Macaca fascicularis: one gene and its partner. The protein of the gene in region 2 purifies or fractionates together with the protein of the main gene of each other region. This does not show direct contact. Links are inferred from orthologs where the notes say so. Each region holds a gene or a part of one and is shown on either strand. Other genes may lie near its edges.

The links.
Region 1: the proteins of MGRN1 (region 2) and MC1R purify together in Homo sapiens (affinity purification with western blotting; 3 studies listed by BioGRID). This does not show direct contact. The link is inferred for Macaca fascicularis from reciprocal best matches to the Homo sapiens genes MGRN1 and MC1R.

The regions. Positions count from the first base shown.
Region 1 is NC_088394.1:85,853,111-85,860,187, reverse strand, and holds MC1R (melanocyte-stimulating hormone receptor), read right to left. Parts: upstream 4,606-7,077; 5' UTR 3,262-4,605; coding exon 2,308-3,261; 3' UTR 1,554-2,307; downstream 1-1,553. UniProt on the Homo sapiens protein: Receptor for MSH (alpha, beta and gamma) and ACTH. The activity of this receptor is mediated by G proteins which activate adenylate cyclase.
Region 2 is NC_088394.1:5,438,818-5,446,235, reverse strand, and holds the start of MGRN1 (E3 ubiquitin-protein ligase MGRN1), read right to left. Parts: upstream 4,190-7,418; 5' UTR 4,039-4,189; coding exon 3,951-4,038; intron 1-3,950. UniProt on the Homo sapiens protein: E3 ubiquitin-protein ligase. Mediates monoubiquitination at multiple sites of TSG101 in the presence of UBE2D1, but not of UBE2G1, nor UBE2H. Plays a role in the regulation of endosome-to-lysosome trafficking.

The sequences.
Region 1 (7,077 bases), about 80 Mb from region 2:
TCTGACTCACTCTCTGATGTCGGAGAATGCTGCAGGGGGGCCTCAGGGGAACAACTGGAGATGCGTCTACTGGTCAGAGAAGAAGGGAGGGAGGGAAGGGCTCGCCCGCACAGCACTGACCTCCTCCTGGGCCAGATATTACAGTGACACCACCTTATAACAAGGACCTTCTGATATTTCAGTAACAAAAATCCTTCAGGAAGGGTCTGACAGTGCACAATGCACAGACGACCCCCCGTCCCCAAATCAGCATTCACTTCACACAATGAGCAGCTGCAAACCCTCCTGTGGACGCCTGTGTCCGGTCTGTGTGCACAGGACTGTGTGGGTGGCATGGCCTTGTCCCTGTCTCTCTCTTTTCTCTCAAGAAGCTCTCCAGTTCGGAAAGTCGAGAAATGGATCTTTTGTTCTCAAGAGATACCCCTCCCTGCCCCACAGTGTGCTCAAGTGGCTGTGGCTGGGGTCTAGCTGCCTGGAGTTCCTCCCTGTCCCTGTTCAAGGGAGTCCCGGGTGAGCGTCTGGGTGCCTGCCTGTCTCCATGAGGGAAGTTTTGCAGCCTCAGGCCAGCCAACCCCTGCTCCATCCTCAGAGAGCTCTGGTGCCAGGCTGAAGGCTGACTCACCGTCCGGTCTCCCAGCACAGGCGGGCCCTGCCAGGAAGCAGCTCCCAGTTCTGAGGCCGGCAGTCAGGGCTGGAGCTGACGCAGGGGTGGGGCTGGCCAGGGGGCTGCTGACTGGGCCTGCCTAGGAGTTGGCTGATGGCAGCCCTGCAACCTCCACTGAGCCTGTTCCGGAAAGGGGGTGACTGAGTGCTCAGCGTCTGCAGAGGAAATGGAGTTGGTCTCTTCAGCGAGATGCCCAGGTTTCAGCAGAGGGATGGCCCAGGGGCTCCACTGCTCCCTAGCACCAGGCAGCATAGTTCATTCCCAGGGGACTTATCCGCCGCTGGGCCTCTGCCTCATCCTCATCTTCAGAGGCCTCACATCCAGCACTTCCCAGGACTGGCTCAACACAGACCACCCCCGACCCCCACCCCACCTGCCCACTCCCAGAATGGCAATGCTGGACAGACAGCAGACCCAGCCCCCAGCCCGCCTGCACTGAGCTCCCTTCCAGGCATCTCAGAGTGACCAGGGATGGTCCCATTCACGGCTCATCACGGCTGGAGGGACTCAGGGCCAGGGCCAGCAAAGGAGTGTGCCTGGCTGAGCTCACCTGTGGTCACATGGAGGGCTGGGCACCCACCTCTCCTGCAGCTGGGACAGTGTCAGAGTGGAGGGGCTGGGGCCCTGCTGCACCTGCTCCTCATTCCTCTAGGCTGGGGTTTGTAAGCACGGAGAGAAACCTGAGAAGCAGGGTCAGCGCAAGCCTGGTTGGGACCTCCACACTCCCCAGGCGTTCAAGGCCTCTGGGGCTGTGGCTTCCTCACCTGGGGAGGCAGCCACGTTTTCCAGGACTCCTTTCTTCCTGGACTCTCTTGACTCTCATCCCTGCCCACCTTCCCCTCCCCTACCCCTCCACCCACAAACTTGAAGCACTTTCTGGAAGGGGCTAAGGTGGGTGATGCTGAGTCACATTTATTACCAGACTTTCCTGGCCCCGTGCTCCCAGGCACTGGTCACTGAGTCAGGCATTTGCCAGGGCTGTCTGCCTGGGTGCCTGCTGCAGGAAAGCAGGCTGAGGCCCCAGTTCCCAGTCTGAGCCTTAGAACCAGTGCTCAGGAGGGCTCAGCCCCACACCACTTGTGAGGTTTCTGCAAACCTGGTCCCTTGGCTTGAGGCAGGGATTTCACTTCCTTTGGCAGAAGCCATTGCATGACTGTAGCTGAAGCTTTCTGGTCACAAAGTCACTTCTCCTGGGGCTGTTGTGGGAGTAGCTCTTGGCACACTCTTCCACCCAGAGCCTCCACATCCCAGCTGACGAGGGCACAGGTCCTGAGGTTGGCAGCAAAGATGGGGTGGGGTGGATGCCCATTGGAGCAGGTGGAGTGCCCCGGGAGTGGGCGGAGAATGTCTCTTCAGGAGCCTGAGGTCGGCCCCTGGTGCCCAGAGCCTGAGGCCTCACAACCTCCCCATGTCCTCCTCCGTTACCCACGACTGCTGGTGAGAAGTCCTGCCTGGAGTTTTGCAGGGACCCCTCTCCCTGGTCCCAGAAGGGTCCATGCTTCAACACCTTCAGAGGTCAGTCCATCCTCTTTGACAAATGGGGACCAGGGAGGTAAGGGACTGCCCAGGGTCACACAGAAACCAGGCCACACAATATCACCACCTCCCTCTGCCCAGCACGCTGAAAGCTGCCCGTGCCGCGCTCACCAGGAGCACAGCAGCACCTCCTTGAGCGTCCTGCGGAGCTCCTGGCTGCGGAAGGCGTAGATGAGGGGGTCAATGATGGCATTGCAGATGATGAGGGCGAGAAAGAGGTTGAAGTTCTTGAAGATGCAGCTGCAGGTGGGGTGCTGGGGGCAGAGGACAATGAGTGTGAGATGCAGGAAGAAGGGGCCCCAGCAGAGGAAGAAAATACCCAGCAGGATGGTGAGGGTGGCAGCGCCTTTGAGGCCAAAGCCCTGGTGGGCCAGACGCTGCCTCTTGTGGAGCCGGGCAATGCCCTGGGCGTGCTGGCAGGCCCGGGCCAGCATGTGGACGTACAGCACAGCCATGAGTACCAGCATGGCCAGGAAGAAGACCACGAGGCACAGCAGGACGGCCGCGTGGTCGTAGTAGGCAATGAAGAGCGTGCTGCAGAGGACACTGGCCACCCAGATGGCTGCGATGGCTCGCTGTGCCCGCGGCAACGTCACGATGCTGTGGTAGCGCAGTGCGTAGAAGATGGAGATGTAGCGGTCCACGGCAATGGCGCCCAGGAAGCAGAGGCTGGACAGCATGGAGCTGCAGGTGATCACGTCAATGACATTGTCCAGCTGCTGCACCACGGCAGCCCGGGCCACCAGTGCACCGGCCTCCAGCAGGAGGGTGACGGCCGTCTCCAGCATGTTGCTCCCGCTCACCAGCAGGTCTGACAGGGCCAGGCAGCAGATGAAGCAGTACATGGGTGAGTGGAGGTTCCGGTTCTTGGCAATGGCGGTCACCACCAGCACGTTCTCCACCAAGCTCACCAGCCCCAAGCTGAGAAAGAGCCCGTCAGGGATGGACACCTCTCGGCACCGGGCTCCTGTCTGGTTGGCAGCCAGCCCCAGGTGGGGGGTGGCTGTGGGGGTGGAGTTCAGGGAGCCCAGCAGTCTTCTCTGGGATCCCTGCACAGGCATAGTCCTGTTCAGGAAGCAGGAAGGGGTCACTGGAGGCCCCCAGGTCCCCACAGGTCTCCCCCTCCAGGTGTCCTGCTTAGCTCATGGTGCTGCCAGGGGGCCTTGGGTATCCCCCATGCCTGCCTCCGTCCATCTGGGCACCCCCAGATCTGCCCTCACACTCACCCTCTCCCTGGCTGGACAGGTCAGTCCAGGCATGGCCCAGCCAGTCCAGACACCTCCTGGCATCAACCCTCTGGGCTCAAGGCATCTCACAACCAGTGTGGACAAGCCTGGTCCTCAGCTCCCTCCCTGCCTCTTCCCTGGTGGCTGCTCAGGTCCCCAGGACATTTCAACACCTCTGGCCCCCTCCTGGCCTCTGTCTCCTGCCTCCCTGGACCAGGGTTGGGCTGAGGTCCTGGGAAGAATGGAGCCTTTCTCTGCATTTTTAAAAGTCATCCTCGGAGCCCCTCCCACTGAGGGCAGGCACATGATGGGCACGTGGCAGGGGCGTGAGCGCCCACCACGGCCCGCCTGCCACCAGGCGGTGCGCAGCACCCCGGGGGTCTGTCATGTAGCATATCTCCCTTACGTTAAAAAACACCACAGTCTGTCCTGGTCACCAGGGACCCCACCTGGCCTCCCCTCTAGGAGTCCGGGGCTTCCCTGGGACCTGTCCCCTCCAGAGGCTCCTCTGCCTCAATCACTGGCCATGGATGGCACCCCTAGGCCCCACCCCTCCCCACGTCAGCAGCTCAATGAGGACAGGGCACCCTCTGCTCTCAGCCAAAGCACGCATGGGGCAGCAACTCAGCTGTCAACGTTCATGGCAGATTTGGGGGCGGGACCAGGGAGAACTTTCCCATAATTAAAGTTCTGGAAACTGCGTGAGCCTGCAGGAACTGCACATCGCTGGGGGTGAGGGGGCTTCCGGCCGCGGCAGAGCGTGAAACGGCCCAATGCTAGTGAGCCCCAGAGGAGTCGGTGCTTTTAGGCATCTCAGAGAGGCTGAGGCCACTCTGGCCCCTGCCCCCAAGGGCCCAGCCTCGCCCAGCCAGAGTAGCGACCCCCTGAGCTGCAGCCCTGGGGCTGGGGGTGTCGCTTCCTGGGAGCGGACGGGCTGGGGGCACCCTGGTGAGGTCCTCAGGACCCTCCAGTCATCTCGCTCATCCTCACAGGGGCACCCGGGACGCCGCTCCCGCCCTCCCCGCGCGGCGCCCCATTTCCGCTGTGGAAGGCACCACAGGCCCTGCCCCAAGAGCCACATCAAAGGCAGACCTCTCGCCTCCAGCCAGCGCTCGCACGTGGTGCTCTGCAGGGGTTCACAGCAGGCAGGCATGGCCCGAGACCCAGCAGGGGCGGTGGGGAGGGCCACGGCACCCAGCGCAGGCATCTTCCTGGGTTCACTCCAGGGCGTTCCCAGCACTTCCTCGCTGAGACTGTGCTGACAGCCTCTGTGCTGACAAAAAATCTTCTGAAGGTGGAAGCGGGAGGGGGATGGAATTATTCACCCCATTTACAGGTGCAGAGAAGGAGGCAACGGCGCAGGCGCCGCCCGCGTCAGGGTGTTCAGTGTTTGCATCTGTGATGTTCGAGTTAAAATCCATCCGGTCTCTGGCCCGACTGCCAATCTCTGACCATGAAATGCTCACACCACTCGCAAGCCACCTCCGTGAGCACATCAATATCATTCATATTTACTGATTCAGTAAATATTACTCACTTGTTACATCTGCATTTTACAGTTTATAAATCTTTATTTTTGCTTTGAAATTTTTTATTATTGATGGGTGTGGTGGCTCACGCCTGTCATCCCAGCACTTTGGGAGCCCAAGGCGGGTGGATCACCTGAGGTCAGGAGTTCGAGACCAGCCTGGCCGACACTGTGAAACCCCATCTCTACTAAAAATACAAAAATTAGCCAGGCGTGGTGGTGGGCGCCTGTAATTCCAGTTACTCGGGAGGCTGAGGCAGGAGAATCGGGAGGCTGAGGCAGGAGAATCGGGAGGCTGAGGCTTGAACACAGGAGGTGGACGTTGTTGTGAGCTGAGATTGTGCCACTGCACTCCAGCCTGGGCAACAAGAGCAAAACTGTCTCAAAAAAACCCCAAAAATCATTATTGCCAGGCACAGTGGCTCACCCCTGTAATCCCAGCACTTTGGGAGGCTGAGACGGGCGGGTCTGAGGTCAGGAGTTCAAGACCAGCCTGGTTAATATGGTGAAACCTCATCTCTAATAAAAATAAAAAAATTAGCCGGGTGTGGTGGCGGGCGCCTGCAGTCCCAGCTACTCGAAGGCTGAGGCAGAATTGCTTGAACCCAGGAGGCGGAGGTTGTAGTGAGCCGAGATCACACCACTGCACTCCAGCCTGGGAAACAGAGAGAGATTCAGACTCAAAAAAAAAAAAAAAAAGTGTGTGTGTGTGTGTGTGTGTGTGTGTGTGTGTACATATAATTTTTATTTACTTATTTGAGACACAGTTTCACTCTGTTGCCCAGGCTGGAGTGTAGTGGTGCATTCTCGGCTCACTACAACCTCTGCCTCCTGGATTCAAGCGATACCCATGCCTCAGCCTCCCGAGTAGCTGGGACTGCAGGCGCCCGCCACCACACTCGGCTAATTTTGGTATTTTTAGTAGAGATGTGATTTCACCATGTTGACCAGGCTGGTCTTGAACTCCTGGCCTCAGGTGATCTGCCCGCCTCAGCCTCCCAAAATGCTGAGATTACAGGGGTGAGCCCCCACACCCCGTCTGCTTTAAATTTTTTTTTTTTTTTTTTTTTTTTTTTTTTTTTTTTTTTTTTTGAGACGGAGTCTCGCTCTGTCGCCTGGGCTGGAGTGCAGTGGCCGGATCTCAGCTCACTGCAAGCTCCGCCTCCCGGGTTTACGCCATTCTCCTGCCTCAGCCTCCCAAGTAGCTGGGACTACAGGCGCCCGCCACCTCGCCCGGCTAGTTTTTTTTTTTTTTTGTATTTTTTAGTAGAGACGGGGTTTCACCGTGTTAGCCAGGATGGTCTCGATCTCCTGACCTTGTGATCCGCCCGTCTCGGCCTCCCAAAGTGCTGGGATTACAGGCTTGAGCCACCGCGCCCGGCCTTTTTTTTTTTTTTTGAGATGAAGTCTCGCCATCACCCAGGCTGTAGTGCAGTGGCATGATCTCGGCTCACTGTAGCCTCCACCTACCGGGTTCAAGCAATTCTCCTGCCTCAGCCTCCCGAGTAGCTGAGACTACAGGCGCCCGCCACCATACCCGGCTAATTTTTTTGTTTTGTTTTGTTTTGTTTTTTGAGACGGAGTCTCGCTCTGTCGCCCAGGCTGGAGTGCAGTGGCGCGATCTCGGCTCACTGCAAGCTCCGCCTCCTGGGTTTACGCCATTCTCCTGCCTCAGCCTCCTGAGTAGCTGGGACTACAGGCGCCCGCCACCGCGCCCGGCTAATTTTTTGTATTTTTAGTAGAGACGGCGTTTCACCGTGGTCTCGATCTCCTGACCTTGTGATCCGCCCGCCTCGGCCTCCCAAAGTGCTGGGATTACAGGCGTGAGCCACCGCGCCCGGCCTACCTGGCTAATTTTTGTATTTTTTTTTTAGTAGAGACGGGGTTTCACCATGTTGACCAGGATAGTCTCGATCTCCTGACCTCGTGATCCTCCCACCTCAGCCTACCAAAGTGCTGGGATTATAGGTGTGGATCACCATGCCCGGCCTAAAAAAAATATATATATATATATATTTTTTTTTAGACAGAGTCTTGTTCTGTCACCCAGGCTGGAGTGCAGTGGCGCGATCTCAGCTCACGGCAAGCTTCACCTCCTGGGTTCACACCATTCTCCTGCCTCA
Region 2 (7,418 bases):
AATTCTCCTGCCTCAGCCTCCTGAGTAGCTGGGATTACAGACGTGTGCCATCACGTCCAGCTAATTTTTGTATTTTTAGTAGAGATGAGGTTTCACCTTATTGGCCAGGCTGGTCTCGATCTCTTCACCTCGTGATCCGCCCACCTTGGCCTCCCAAAGTGCTGGGATTATAGGCATGAGCCACCGCGCATGGCCCCAAGATTTCTTAAACATAACTCCAAAAGCAGTATCCACTTAAAAAGCAACAAATGAGACTTTGTCAAAATTCAAAACTTTTGCTCTTCAAAAGAAACACCATTAAGAAAATTAAAAGACAAGCCAGACTGGGAGAATATATTTGCAAATCACATGGCTGATACAGGAATCTTATCCAGAACACATAAAGAACTCTTTGTCACAACTCCATACGATAAACAATCCAGTTTTTAAAAATTGGACAAAAACTCAAATAGACACTTTTCACACACACACAAAGATACGAACAGAAAGCAAGCCGGGCGCAGTGGCTCACCCCTGTAATCCCAGGACTTTGGAGGCCAAGCTGGGCGGATCACCTGAGGTCAGGAGTTCAAGACCATCCTTGCCAACATGGTGAAACCCCGTGTCTACTAAAAATACAAAAATTAGCCTGGTGTAGTGGCAAGTGCCTGTAATCCCAGCTACTCGGGAGGCTGAGGCAGGAGAATCACCTGAAACCAGGAGGCAGAGGTTGTAGTGAGCCGAGATCACACCACAGAACTCCAGGGCAACAGAGCAAGACTCTGTCTCAAAAAAAACAGAAAAGGCTGGGCAAGGTGGCTCACGCCTGTAATCCCAGCACTTTGGGAGGCTGAGGCAGGCAGATCACCTGAGGTCAGGAGTTCGAGACCAGACTGGCCAATATGGTAAAACCCCATCTGTACTAAAAATTTAAAAATTAGCCAGGTGTGGTGGCATGCACCTGTAATCCCAGTTACTCGGGAGGCTGAAACAGGAGAATCACTTGAACCCAGGAGGCGGAGGTTGCACTGAGCCAAGATCATGCCATTGCATTCCATCCTGGATGACAGAGCAAGACTCCATCTCAAAGAAAACAGAAAGCAGATCACTGATGAGCTGAGGGTGGGGGTTGGGGTAGGGACTTTGCAAACAGATGGAAGGAAACTTTTACAAGGAAAATGTCTGTAACTGTGGTGATGACTGCACAATTCTTTTGTTTGTTTGTTTTTTTGAGACGGAGTCTCACTCTGTTGCTCAGGCTGGAGTGCAGTGGAGCAATCTTGGCTCACTGCAACCTCTGCCTCCCAGCTTCAAGCAATTTGTCCTCCCTCAGCCTCCCGAGTAGCTGGGACTACAGGCGCATGCCATCATGCCCGGCTAACTTTCTGTATTTTTAGTAGAGACAGGGTTTCACCATGTTAACCAGGATGGTCTCGATCTCCTGACCTTGTGATCCTCCTGCCTTGGCCTCCCAAAGTGTTGGGATTACAGGCGTGAGCCACCACGCCCAGCCAGATGACTGCACAATTCTATAATTTAACTAAAAGTCATCAAATCATGTTTACAATGGATGAGTTGTGTGGTACATCAACTACGCCTCAATAAAGCTATGAAAGAGTAAAACAGATACAGTGAAAACAAAGCAAATATTAAATTCAAGCTGAGCACTGCTGCAGAACATACTGAAAGTTCCATTAAGAAAACTGGACAGTGTTAAGTGTTAAAAACACATATATTACCACCCAGTGACTCTTTTTCCTTGACATAATCAACAAAATTGACAGATGTGAAAAGAAAACTTTCTCATGGGGTGATCGAATGGTCCATGGGGGCAACCCCTGAAATCATCTCAAACGTCTCCACCGTCCCCAGTCTGCCCTTGGGGAAACACACCAAAATTCTGCTGAAGCCCGGTCTGCCTCCCATCCATGACCTTACGGAGTTCTCCTTAAGGAGAGAGGAGACGAGGGGAGTCTAGGAAACCAGTGGGGCACGAAGGCAAGGACCGGAAGAGATGAACAAAGAGAAGCACAAGCATCTGCAAGGTCCCAGGGAAGGACGGAGAAGAGAAAGGGAAAAACGTAGCTGGAGAGGACCTGTGGACTGGACGGGCCCGGAACACTGCTGGCACTGGCAACATGACCCAGGCAGCTGTTGGGTTTCACCTGTGTGCCAGTGCCAACCAATTAATAGTGGCTGACTCAGGTGTTCCGTGATGGATGCTCAGGGGGAGGGAGGGCCATGAGTGATTAGCAATGACATTTCAGCCACAGTGGGATCCCGAAGTGGGCTGTAAATGCCATGTATGTTATTTTGTCCAGTCCAAGTGAAGGGACATCAAGTGAGCTCAGGTCCCAGGTGACAGGAAGTGCCACTCAACTTTTTGATATCTGTGTCATGACACTGTTTACTATTAGGGTCATTAGCCAGTCACTTAGCTTCCTTTATGAGCAATTGTAGCAGCTACCATTTGGGGACTTCTGAGCCAAGTGTGGTTCTGAGACCTGTAAAAGCATCAGCCCGTTTTACAGATGAGGAAACTGGGATCCAGGGAGTTAAGCAACCTCGACCAAGCTCACTCAGCCAGAGACAGGCTGGAAGAACATCAGAGATGAAAGAGGACAACAGCAAACTGCTCCATCTGATGTGGGGCCATCAGCCCTCAGAACCTCCAGGGAAACTCCAGGGCTGAAGCACCCAAAGGCCAGGCTGCCCTGCTGCTAGGCCTGGGAAACATGTGTGTACTCCCCAGCAGCCAGGCAACAGTGCGTTCTGCCTAGCTCTGAGTCCATCCCCTTCAGAGTGCCCCCAAACTGTGCTGGTTCCCCTCACTTCATCGCGGTGGCCCCAGGCCCTCACCTAGTCACACCTTACAAAACCTGGGCAGAGCAGTTTTTCAAATCTGAGTGGACGTCAAACTCACGTGAGGAATGGGTTGAAAATGTAGGTTCCCAGGCCCCAGGTGGTCCAAGGCAGGGCCTGGCATGTCTAACAGTCCTCTCCACTTGTGGACCTGGCCCACACTCAGAGAAATCTGGCCTGTGGGTGTCCAGAGACACCCAGGAGACTGAGACATCAGATCACATGAGACGCCAGGATCTGAGGACCCAATCTGGGTGTCCCAATGATGCCCAAGTTCTCTCTCCTCTCCCTTCTCTCCTTTCCACCACAAATGACCCCACGAGGAGATGGAAGGTGAGAATTGGAGCTAGATGCTCCCAGTGAACCCATGCTCATCAATAGAGGCAGGAAGAGAGCGGGAACAAGCTCCCAGGGAGCCCCACACCTGGTCCTGGTCCCAACTGGTTCCAGCTGAGTCCTTGGCAGCCACTTCCTCCTTGACGGTTTTGGTCCCTCAGCCATAACACAGAGACCTGAGTATCGGTGGGTCCTCTCCAATCACTCTCCTGTCCTGTCAGCAAGGACCCTAGCCCCTCCCGATCAATTACAATCATCTCCTTGGGCCCAGCCCCACTCCTCCAACCCACACACCAAGAGCCTCCGTCTTGATGGGAGGGAAAGTGCCCAACCACAGGCTTGGCCTTCACACCAAGCCACCAAAGAAAGAGAAAGCCGGCCGCCGCGGTGAGGTCAATCTGATGACAATGAGCGCTTTCTAGGCAGGAGAGATGCGCCGGGACCCGCGCTCAGCACCCCGCCCCGCCCTCAGGCTTTCCCCCAGGAACTCCCCCGTGTTACGAGGACGGAGCTGAGGCGCCCGGGGCAAAGCGACTGCCCCAAGGTCACCCAAGCCGGGCAGTGGCAGCGCCGGGTACGGCTCGGGCAGGTTCCTCCGGGGCCCCCAGCCACGCCTAGGGGTCGGGGCGGCGGGGCCGCGCAAAGGCTCCGGGTAGGAACGAGGCCCAGAGGGCGCCGAGCAGGGCGCCCTGCCCCCAGTCCCCGCCCCCGCGCCCGCCGGGCCAGCGTTCCAGCCCGCGCCTTGCCGTACGCGCCGGGGGCCGGGCGCTCACCGGACTTCGGAGGGTAGCGATAGGCCGAGTTCGCCTGGATGTCGATGTCCTCCACCCCCGCGATGCGGCGGCTGAGAATGGAGCCCATGGTGAGCGGCGCTGCCGGGCAGGGGCCAGGGCCGAAACGGAAGCGGCGGCGGCGGCGGCGGCGGCGGCGGCTGCAGGGTCCTCACACAGACATGGCCCGGACCAGGCCGCACGGACGCTAGTCCACGGCCGCGGAGGCGCCTCGAGCCCCCACCCCCGGCTTGGCCCGGGACCCGACGCCACGGCGGCCCTCCGCCTCCCGGGCCCCGGGCACGTCGGGAAATGGAGTCCTCTCGCCCCGAAGGCGCCGGGAAGCGGCGCGGGAAGCCCGTCTGGAAACTATCTTTCCCAGGATGCTCCGTTCCCAGGCTCTCTGACGTGTTGACAAGCACTCCGGGACAAACCAAATGGACCTAAAATCAAAGGGAAGGAACCACCAAGCACACCGCAAATGGTCCTTCCCTCTGCGTTCCAAGAGCTGCACTAACATATTAACTCTTTGGTCATTTCATCATCTGTTCGCTTACAGACTCCCCTGCGGCCCCAGCGCCTTCCACTTGCCTCCTCTGAAATTGCTCCCTGAGTCGCTGTGGTTCTCCCCACTCCCCCGGGTTTGTCTCCCGCCCCGACCGGCAGAGGGCGCAGCTGCACCTGCCACCCGGAGCCCACCTGCAGGGTGTGCACCGAAGAAGTGAAGCACCCGCTTTGGCCTTGGCCAAAATTTGAGGACTACCATTTGGGGACTTCTGAGCCAGGTGTGGTTCTGAGGGCTGTATAGGCATCAGCCCGTTTTACAGCTGAGGAAACTGGAATCCAGGGGGTTAAGCAACTTCCGGCCCCCTGACAAGAGGAAGGCCGAGGCCAGGTGCAGTGGCTCACCTGTAATCCCAACACTTTGGCCCCACGTCCAGAACAATTAGTTTAAAGACATAATTTTACAGTCTCCACAGAAGGCAGTAGACTCTCCCACACTTTACACACAGGGAAACTGAGGCACAGAGGAGAGAGAGCCGCATGAAATGCGCTGGGGGCAAGATTGCAAGAATCGCGTTAGAATGAAAACCTCCCAGTGTGCACGGTGTTCCTTGGCTTTTGACTCACACACAGCTCTGGAAACAGATCGCTTTTTACCACTTCTCAGTTGAGGAACTGGGATTCTGAGAAGAGTGATTTCCCAAGTCAAGCCTGTTGTACCAAGAAAGCAGCTAGGGAGGGGCAGGGCAGACTGAGTCTCATATGGTCAATTCACCACAGTCCACATGGAAATGCTTCTTATACCCTTCCAGGGGCCAGAGTCCAGGATCCAGTCTTCCTTTTTTTTTTTTTTTTTTATTCTGTTGCGCAGTCTAGAGAGAAGTGGCACTATCTCAGCTCATTACAGCCTCTGCCTCCTGTGTTCAAGCGATTCTCGTGCCTCAGCCTCCCCACTAGCTGGGATTACATGCATGCACCATCACACCCAGCCAATTTTGTATTTTTAGTAGAGATGGGGTTTCACCATGTTAGCCAGGCTGGTCTTGAACTCAAGTGATCCACCTGCCTTAGCTTCTCAAAGTGTTGGGATTACAGGTGAGCCACTGCGCCTGTCCTCAGCCTTCCTCTTGTCAGGGGAACTTGGGAAGCCAAACGACTATGGCAGCCAAGAGGCTTGTGTGATTATGAGGTGGGTCCAGGTCTTGGAGGAGCCTGATAAAATCTCCCTGGCCCACAACCAAAGGCCACACTTACTGAGCATTTATTATGTGCCAGGCATCATGCTGAGGACTCTGCGCATATTCTCTCATCGAATTCTTTGATGTTGGCCAGGCGCAGTGGCTCACGCCTGCAATCCTAACATTTTGGAAGGCCGAGGCAGGCAGATAGCCTGCACCCAGGAGATCCAGAACAGACTGGGCAACATGTCATGACCCTGTCTCTACCAAAAATGTAAAAATTAACCAGATGTGATGGCATGCCCCGGTAGTCACAGCTACTCTGGAGGTGGAGGCAGGAGCATAGTTTGAGCCTGGGAGGTCGAGGCTGCAGTGAGCCACGATCATGCCACTGCACTCCAGCCTGGGTGACAGAGTGAGACCCTATCTCTAAAAAGGATAAAAATGAAAAAAAATTAAAAATTAAAAAACAGGCCAGGCACTGTGGCTCACACCTGTAATCCCAGCACTTTGGGAGGCCAAGGCAGGTGTACCACTTGAGGTCAGGGTTCAAGACCAGCCTGGCAAATATGGTGAAACCCTGTCTCTACCAAAAATACAAAAATTTAGCTGAGCGTGGTGGTGTGCGCCTATAATCCCAGCTACTCAGGAGGCTGAGGCAGGATAATCACTTGAACCTGGGAGGTGGAGGTTACGGTGAGCCAAGATTGCGCCACTGCACTCCAGTGTGGGTGACAGAGCGATGTTCTGTCTCCAAAAATAATAATAATTAAAAATAATTATCTGGCCGGGCATAATGGTTCACGCCTGGAATCCCAGCACTTTGGGAGGCCGAGGTGGGCAAATCACCCAAGGTCAAGAGTTCAAGACCAGCCTGGCCAACATGGCAAAATCCCGTCACTACTGAAAACATAAAAATTAGCCAGGTGTGGTGGCACATGCCTGTAATCCCAGCTACTCAGGAGGCTGACACGGGAGAATTGCTTGAACCTGGGCGGTGGAGGTGGCAGTGAGCTGAAATCGTGCCACTGCACTCCAGCCTGGGTGACAGAGCAAGATTGTCTCAAAAAAAAAAAATTATCTGATGTAGATTCTATTTCCATTCCCAATTTACAAAACAGGAAAGTGAGGCTCAGAAAAATGAAGTACCCTAATGGGGTTGCACAGTAGGTGGGTGGCACAGCTGGAATTGAGCCAGGCCACTGCTCTTACCTGGGCACGTCCCTGTTTCCACAGAGGCATGCTCCAGAGTGCCAGATTGCCAGGCTCTTGCCCCCAGATGGATGGGCCTGAAGACCCCCACCCACTGTGATCTCTCTTCATTTTATATTTCTTTCCATTGAATTGCAGAACTCACGTACATGTATGTGCGTTTCTGTACCAATGCTGCCTTCGACTGCCCTCCCCGTTTGTGGGGAGGAAGGGAGAGTCCCGAGGATCGCTGTTCCCATGAAAAACAACACTAACACACATCCTCCCTATGGAGCCTGGGTCAGAGCAGTCGTTTCCAGCAGCGGGATGTTTCATTAACTCTTCTCAACAGAGAAGAGTTACCCACACCCAGCTGGAAGACAGGCCCTTCCTGATTTGGTCCAAGTTCCATTATCAACATCTGAGTGGATTCATTTCTTTATGTTTGGAGACAGAATCTCACTCTATCACCCAGGCTGGAGTGCAGTGGCATGATTATGTGGGATCTCGGCTCGCTTTAACCTCTGCCTCCCGGGTTCAAGCGGTTCTCCTTCCTCAGCCTCCCGAGTAGCTGGGATTACAGGCGCCCACGACTATG